Linked DNA regions of Tribolium castaneum. The protein of the gene in region 1 binds, or shares a complex with, the protein of each later gene. Links are inferred from orthologs where the notes say so. Each region holds a gene or a part of one and is shown on either strand. Other genes may lie near its edges. The genes, in order: Sec20, Syx18 and Vamp7.

Evidence for each region.
Region 2: Sec20 (region 1) and Syx18 share a complex: the UniProt entries of both Homo sapiens proteins name them as parts of the SNARE complex. The link is inferred for Tribolium castaneum from reciprocal best matches to the Homo sapiens genes BNIP1 and STX18.
Region 3: Sec20 (region 1) and Vamp7 share a complex: the UniProt entries of both Homo sapiens proteins name them as parts of the SNARE complex. The link is inferred for Tribolium castaneum from reciprocal best matches to the Homo sapiens genes BNIP1 and VAMP7.

What each region holds. Positions count from the first base shown.
Region 1 is NC_087395.1:17,502,694-17,505,605, reverse strand, and holds Sec20 (vesicle transport protein SEC20), read left to right. Parts: upstream 1-1,383; 5' UTR 1,384-1,484; coding exon 1,485-1,565; intron 1,566-1,619; coding exon 1,620-1,792; intron 1,793-1,841; coding exon 1,842-2,262; 3' UTR 2,263-2,288; downstream 2,289-2,912. UniProt on the Homo sapiens protein: As part of a SNARE complex may be involved in endoplasmic reticulum membranes fusion and be required for the maintenance of endoplasmic reticulum organization. Also plays a role in apoptosis.
Region 2 is NC_087400.1:1,051,479-1,054,190, reverse strand, and holds Syx18 (syntaxin-18), read right to left. Parts: upstream 1,756-2,712; 5' UTR 1,618-1,755; exon of another isoform or gene 1,614-1,617; intron 1,568-1,613; 5' UTR 1,537-1,567; coding exon 652-1,536; 3' UTR 571-651; downstream 1-570. Other genes in the region: zinc finger protein 239, read left to right, coding at 1,807-2,191, 2,237-2,488, 2,544-2,712. UniProt on the Homo sapiens protein: Syntaxin that may be involved in targeting and fusion of Golgi-derived retrograde transport vesicles with the ER.
Region 3 is NC_087402.1:8,581,731-8,584,478, forward strand, and holds Vamp7 (vesicle-associated membrane protein 7), read left to right. Parts: upstream 1-1,012; 5' UTR 1,013-1,204; intron 1,205-1,256; coding exon 1,257-1,460; intron 1,461-1,512; coding exon 1,513-1,741; intron 1,742-1,796; coding exon 1,797-1,864; intron 1,865-1,912; coding exon 1,913-2,077; 3' UTR 2,078-2,090; downstream 2,091-2,748. Other genes in the region: uncharacterized protein LOC103312779, read right to left, coding at 1-738. UniProt on the Homo sapiens protein: Involved in the targeting and/or fusion of transport vesicles to their target membrane during transport of proteins from the early endosome to the lysosome. Required for heterotypic fusion of late endosomes with lysosomes and homotypic lysosomal fusion.

The DNA.
Region 1 (2,912 bases):
TTGATAATCGTTTTTAGTTTGTGTTATAGTAAATATTTATTGTTGGTGGTGGATTTGTTTTTGGTTATTTGAAGACCATCACAAGGGGAGCATTATCAAGAATTTTTACAGTTTTTTCGCAGGTAATTGCGAATATTCCTAGTTGGTTGTTAATATGGGCTTAATCCTAAACATTGTGACTTCTCCAAGCGAGAAATAAAACATTTTAATGCAAAAACGCAAATTTGGTCAAGTACTATTTTTTTCGCGGAGTGTTAGTAACTAGTTTTGCACACAGTCGAATGATTTTGACTATGGAATAATCAGTTATCAAATGATTTGAACAGCGATTTGAACTATCGAATGAATCATTCATTTATTTTATTCAATGGCATTGCCTCATTTAAGGAAATAAATGGTGGTCTAGTAGTAAATGACCAATCGTTACAATTTGTTTTTAATTTTTGTTTTTTTACCATTTGCGAGGGGTAAACATCTGATCTAAATCTTGTACACCATACATTCCTTATACATCCTTTTACAGTCCTGGAAATCCTTGAAGTTGTACAGCTATCCCTCGAAACACTTTTTTTGTATTCACCTAAATGATCCGCAAAAGTTGCCTTAGCGAGCGAGAAAGACTCAATTTAGGAACTCAAATATCATTCCACAACTTCTTGGGTTTAAGTTCGAAAAGCCCTAATTTTAGGCTCATATGAGTCTCTAAATTTGTCCATTATTGATTTAAGTACTATTTTACGAGTACAGTAAAACTTCTCAACAACGGACACTGATGGGGAACCTTTAATTGTCTATTGTGGAGAGGTGGAAATTTTAATATATTGTTAACTTCTTACAAAAATGTCTGTTGTGAAGAGGTGTCCGTTTTTCGGAGGTGTCCATTAAGGGAGGTTCCACTGTATTTCAATAACTGTTGATATTGAATAAAGATATTTTCAAGCAAAAACCGATCGATTAGGATCTCGAAGGGAAATTCAAAACCAATATTAGTTACATTTTAGGTTTCATCCCCTGATCGCTAGCCACCCCTACTTTAAAATTTAAAAGGAGGGAAAGGCTTAAAGAAACAAAATATTGTTTTTTTTGTTTTGTGTTAAAAGTGATATTTTATTTTTTAAATTTTCAGTCTTTACTCAAAATTCAAAACCAACAAAAAATAATCGCTAACCACGCTCTTTACCAAATTATTTTTTTAAATAAGGTAAAAATAAATGTAAGATACGTATTAATGGTTAGATCTCATTGAAAATATAAATTACATTATCTATCAATTTTTTGAAGTGTATAAATAATTTATAACAACTAATTTTGAGAAAAATGTGACGTTGGCGTTTACATACTTTTCAAAGAGCTAATACTTTAAACTAACGTTTAAATTTTGAATTGGCGCCATTGCTTGGTTCAAAAACGGAAAACCCTGCTCATGAGTAGGTTACTAGATTTACATTCCATTAGCTTAGTCGGGTGCTAACGAGCTTAAAACGATGGATTCATCCGATTACGTGCTAGAAACGTTGAGAAAAGACATAACTGAGCACAATTTACAAATTAGAGCGATAATTCAGGTGCGTATTACCCACAAATAAACCCTGATTTTTGACACGTCCGTGTTGTGGTAGGACATCAACGCATGCGTCGGCCCATTGGCTGAATTGCAAGGTTTGAATAGCGCGGGACGTTCAAAAATTTCCGCCTTGCGGAAATTCATCGACAAATTCGGGGATATAGCCAAAGAGCGCAAAAACCCCACGTTTTTGAAAGACGTAGTTTCGTATCGTGAACAATTAGCGAGGTGATTTGGTGTATTGTGTCGCATTTGTGTGAAGAGATTAATTTTGTAGCACAATGGAGGCGTTCAAAAAGGCCAATATTAGTGCGATGTTGGCCATAGAAAAGGGGGCTCAGGAGGAGTTGTTGAAACCGAAAACTGAGGAAACGGCGCTGCGTCAAAGGCAAAAACGCGATAAGGAAAATTTGGTCAAAATGAGCTCAAATGTAACCGAACAGTTGTTATCAATCAGTCGGCAATTAGCTGATACGACGAAAAGGAGTGCGGATACGCTGGACGCGCTAGTTACTTCCTCCGATAGTGTAATCGGGTCACAGGAAGAACTCAAAATAACCTCAAGTACAATTAGCCAGTCGGGGAAATTGCTGGCGAAGTATGGGCGAAGGGAATTCACCGATAAAATCCTCATGTTCTTTGCGTTTGTCTTCTTTGTGGCGTGTGTTTTTTATATCGTGCAAAAACGATTATTTTAAATAAACTTCAACTACTTTCGTTATAATGAGTTATTTTACGAGTATTGTTTTTATAGACTGAAGGACCTTGGTCCAAGGCATCTGGGAAGCCCCCAGATTACGCTAAATAAATTATTTATTGTATTGTTGTAACCACATTATTATTAAAATACGTTTCGTTATTATTGAGACATTTATAATAATAATAATATTGGGTTTTTAAAAGAACTGATTTTTCCCTCAGTTCGTACTAGCTTTTAATCACAAAGACAAAAAATCACCTACTTTAATTATAAATTCAATTGATCGCATGGTATTTAAATCTCTTAACAAAACTCAATTGATATGATTGTTTAAAACCGACGTATTTTATATATTTTTATGTATTTTCGGTTAAACAAGAATGGGGAATATAATCATAAGCTTCTTTATAATTTATGAAAGTACAGATTTTTCTATTATGATTTCTTGCTTGTTCTATAATACGCTGTTCTTTACATTCAACTGATCTTTTAATACAACGGTTTTGGTCTTCATTAATTATTCTTAAAGCATTGATCAAATTACCTTTTAAACTATCCAATTCAAATATACAGCGAAGATTTTATTTTACCGAACACCCTAATTCTATTAATCCTATGTTCAATTAAAAAAAAATCATATCAATGCAT
Region 2 (2,712 bases), on another chromosome or scaffold:
TACCGAGTTATACAAAAATATATATGCTTTTGTTTTTTATTATAAAAATAAATTTATTTTTTCTGTAGGTTTCATTAATTGGAATACCAGTACACAAAAGTAATTAACAAGACCAGACCCTCAATCCTACAGTCCTTTTCTTTTATATCCTAGTTAACAAAAAAACTATAGACTGTTTTGTCCAATCCCCATATGAGAAGTATTGGAAGTTGTGGTAATATTTATTCATGTTTTTAATGAAAAATGGGTTACTCGTGTTATATCAGGGAGTTTACATCAGCTTTCCCGTTATTTGGGTTTCGAAAATTTTTGGTTTCATACCTTTCACTTCAAAAATCAGTAGCTGTGCCATTTTTAAAGATTTTGAAATCGTTTTTTGGGCATTTTACAAAGAAAACAAACCTTTGCTTCAATGAGTTCGAAATTGGAAAAATGTTAAACTCAAAAATTTTTCAAATAGAATGTCCCGAATTTTATAATTCCTTTTCTATCAGCCACAGTTTGCAAACAAACAAATTATTAAGCTTGGGTTTCAGCAATGTTTTATGTATTTTTTTTAATGTAAGAACCTTTTTGGTCGATTTATTCTTTATTGCCGAGTTATACAAAAATATGTTTTTTCTTATAAATAATTTATTTTTTCTAGGTTTGTTAATCGTTATACCAGTCGAGAAACAGCAGCGAAAACGACATAACTAGCAGAAAAAACAGCACCCAGACCCTCAAGCCTGCATTCCTTTGAATCGCTTGTCTGATTTGCTCATTAGCGTCCCGCATGTTACTCGTAGCCCCCACGACGTTGTTTGCAATCCTTTCTATATCCTGTTCCTGTTGCAAGACCTTCTCCGTGAATAATTCCTGAAGTTCGGCAATGTGCACGACTTTGCTTTCCATTTGTTTGACTTCCTCGGACGTTGAGTTGAGCTCATTGTAGAGCATTTCGTTTTCCGACTCAAACATTTGCATTTCTTCAACTGATAGCTGGTCTTCGATATCGACGGGAGGGGGCGATACTGGGGGTACAATCGGGGGTTCCAAACTCCCTTTACTGCCAATTGTCTCCAATTTGGCCACTTTGTGCGTCTCCAAGACACGTTTCACGCGAATTGCCTTCGCCTCGGTGTATATTTTGCTAACTGTCTTTAAGTAGCGCTCGAGTGAGTCGATCACGTTGTGGTAGTGTTCCTCCTTTTGCTTGCTTTTGGGCAGCTTGCAAATTTCTTTTTTATAGTCGCTAATGAGGGAAGTACATGTGGTTACGATTTTCTCAGCTGTTGTGTCTATTTGCTCTCGGTCAACCTCCGTCATGGTTTTATTGGTGGATAAATAGTTTAGTACGTTCAAGTACGCTGCTTTATTCTCTAAGAGGAAGGTTTGGAAGTGCGTTATTTGCTTCACCACTTCTTTAGCAGTCGCCAAATTGGGGTCCTTCGGACCCGACTTCGGGAGCGCCGGTTTGGACTCTTGCAGGCCTAAGGCCTTGTTAGTCGTCCTCACAGTCTTAACACAAGCCTTGAAAAGTATTGTTATGTCCATTTTTGCCCCGAACAAGTGACGTGTACCTAACCTAAAAGCCACAACGTCAAAAAATTTATCAAATCAATCGAACGCACCGACAAATCACACGTTACGGCCGTAGAACGGCTTAATTAATTTAGAAAAGGGGGCACAACTTTCACAAACTCATAAAATACCGTTTTTTAACATTTTTGTGACTGGTCAAGTCGCCCTGTCAGCCACCGCGATTCGTTTTTGTTTACAATTGTTGAACATAACCAAACTTCCAGTCAAGCGTTATTCTGGAAAATGTGTGCGTCGGTAATTGGTGATTTCGTGAAAAACTTGCACTTAATGACCCTCCCGACGCCCCTCTGGGCCGTGCACATTGACCCCAAGGAGCAGTTCCTGGCCGTGTTGCACGTCAAGCCCCACTGTGATAAAGTGGTCATTGATAAGGGGGTGCTCCTGACTTGCGATAGCGGCACTTTAAAGACTTCCGTGTCGTTTCGTGACGAAATTGTGCAACTCCCGAGCTCAGCGTCCAAAATTGAGACAATTTCCGATCTAACAAGTCTCATTTATTCGCTCCATGATGTGCGGTTTTGTCTGAACGCCGATTTGGGGCTCGCCAGGTGTGCGAAATTTGTGCTGGGCGGGGGCGCAGACTTGTGCGAGTTTTGCTCGTTTGAAGGTAGGTTTAGTGGCTGTTTGGTGTTTTAACACTGGGGGTGTTAAGTTTTTAGTGCTGCGAGGGAAGAGCAGTCCCTCTCGTTCATAGATAGCCCCCTTTTGGACAGTGGTGAGGACAAACGTAAGGAAAAACAGTATTTGTGCACAGTGTGTGGCAAGACGTTCAATTGCTCGTCCGGGTTGGAGCACCACATGCTGACACATGCGCCCCCCGATGATAAGCCCTTCAAATGCAAAGTTTGCACTAAAGCCTTTGCCAAGAAATACAACTTGAATGTGCACGCAAGGGTCCATTCCGGTATTTTCTCAAAAAAAGGTCATTATTTTTTATTATAATTTTTTGTTTGTTGTAGGTGAGAGGCCGTATATTTGCAGCCAATGTGGTAAAACTTACTCGACTCGGAGCAACCTCTCGACTCACATAAACAGCACTCACTGTGATGAGAAAAAGCACCATTGCAAGCTCTGCGACATGTCTTTTGTCCACCCAAGAGTGCTGAGGATTCACATGAGGAAACATAC
Region 3 (2,748 bases), on another chromosome or scaffold:
CGACATGTCCAAAGCAGCTTCGATTCCCTCAGGTTTCGGCACTTTTAAGTTAATTTCAGCGCTGGTTTTGCTTTCGCCGTGCCTGAATCTACAACGCGTGATCTCTTCTTCGATTATTTTATTGATGAGGCTTGTGAATTGTTGCGAAGTGGCTGCGTTTGACAAAATATCAGTGCATGCGACAAGTTTCCTCTTGATTTTGTCCAGTTTTTCGCTGTTTGAGTTGATGAGGGCATCCTTCTCGAGGATGTTCACCAGTTTGATGATATTCTTGAAGAGAAACTCTTGCGATTTGAGGATTGCGTGCAAGTTGTCAATGATGTGTTCCTGACTTTTCACTTTAAACTCGTTAATTTTGGTGTGTTCACGGCGCAACCATTCAGGGACTGTGTTCAAATTTTGGTTTTTCGGCAACTCTTCCAATTTTTTATCAACGGTTTGCGGCACCAAAGCAACAGTATGTGTATGTTTCTCATTTTCTTGCTTTACCCGGTTTATGTGTTCGTACAAGTAGCGGAGATCGTTCGTCACAACGTCTCCCTCACAGGTGTATTTGCTCGAGTTGTTGATAAACTCCAACATGTTTTCAAACGGGATTATTTGGGTCGCGTTGCTGTATTCGGTCGAAATTTTTCGCTTGAAGTGCATACATTTTTTGATATATTCGTGGAGTGTCTCGGCCGCTGCTGTGGTTAAAACCTTCCCACGCAGTAACAATAAATTTAACAGGAATTCCATAATTTGCGCCATGAAATTGAAATGATTGGAATTATTTGCTCGGCCACATTTTTTGAATTCTTTGACAACGCGCCACTCGATTTTCAAAAACCACAACATCTAACAACGCTTGTAACACGTTTTATTTGATTCAAATAAATCTCACTCAAACTAAACCAAGGTGTTACTTTCGGTATCGTGGCCGAATTTTACTATGAAATTATTTTTTTGGAGAAATTTTGAAAATGCACGGACGCCACTGGTGTGGTATTTAGAACATCGACTGAGTCATCGCTGACGCATGCGCACTTTGAAACCAAACGTCAGTGTGACACATGACGTTTTTGTTATTGTTCTCAATTTTTTATAATAATACCAATTAATTCAAAGATATTTGTGTTCGTTGTGCGCGTTTTTATCATTGTTACGTGTGTGGCATTTTTGGCGTTTATGTGAAGGTGTCAACGTAAATCGGAAAAAATAAAACGTAATTACGTCCCAACTGTTTAGGATCAATTAACATTGTTTATTCATTATAGATGCCAATTCTTTATAGTGTAATATCTCGGGGAAGCACCGTTCTAGTTCGATATGCCTCTTGCGCCGGGAATTTCGCTGAAGTTACTGAACAGATCATCGGAAAAATACCACCACATGATGATAAGTTGACGTACTCGCACGGGAACTATTTGTTCCACTATGTTTGTGAAAACCAAGTTATTTACATGTGTATTACTGACGATGTAACGTGGAATGTCGCGTAAATACTTGGTTGTATTGTCATCATTGTTTCAGGAGTTTGAGAGGTCACGGGCGTTTTTATTTCTCAATGAAATTAAAAGGCGTTTCAGGTCCCAATATGGGGACTCTATCCAGACTGCGATTGCATATGCGATGAATTCTGAATTTTCCAGGGTTCTAGCCAACGAAATGAAACATTATTCCGAATCCCATGATGTGGATACAATTTCAAGAGTTCATGGAGAGTTGGATGAACTTAAAAATATTATGGTCAAGAATATAGGTGAGTGTGAATAAATATTTTGTATGTGATATTTATTACTGCGTTCATTGATAAGATAATGTGGCGATGAGGGGAGAAAGGCTGGAACTGTTAGTAAATAAAGCTGAAAATTTGAATAGTGGGGTGAGTATTTAATAAAAAGTTGTTTTTTTTTCTGAAACTTTTTTTCAGTCTGTGACGTTCAGGAAGACAAGTCGCAATCTGGCACGTTCCATGTTTTGGAAAAACGTTAAGCTTTATGTTATCATTGGTGTGATTATTACTGTGATTGTTTATTTTATTGTTTGCATGGCTTGCGGAGGGCTTCTCTGGCAGGGCTGTATTGCTAAGAAATAAAAATTTTAAGATATTTTACTTTATTCATTACTTAAACACTGTACCGTTTTATCTTTATGTAAATAAGATTCCGCAAAATTAGTGATAAAAACATTCTTTTATAATTATGTAGTTTATCTTCGTTAATTTATAATTTTGTAATTGTTAAGGTATCGTTACTTGAATAAAGCAGACAAAATATACTCTTGTTTTATTTTCCCTCTAGTCTTTTATCTAATCACGTATTAAAAAGTCTCAAAAAATTCAAGAATTAAACACAAAAAAATCAAGAATAATTGTTTTAGTTGGTAACAAATTTAAAGAATTTTCTTATTCAGCAACTGGATACGGAGAAGCTATCATTAGTCGAACCACTTAAAAAAAAGATTTAGATTTGCCAACTCGAGCATTCTTTTTGTAGATATGTCTCATATTAGGTCTTACTAAAAAAAAAATTTAGAGATTCTGCAAAAAAAGAAAAGGATTCTGTGTTAAAGAAAATCCCAACGACAAATTTAAAGCCAAAAAAAACAATAATTCAAAGAGAAAATTATTTTTTAAAACTGACAGCTGTTGCTAATAAGATCTGAAACGGACCATACTCGTAAATTGGCATGTGATAAGAATTACTGCTTTCAAAGATTGAAATACAAAAGCTATAAAAGAGATATAACATTTAAAAAACGTAAAAG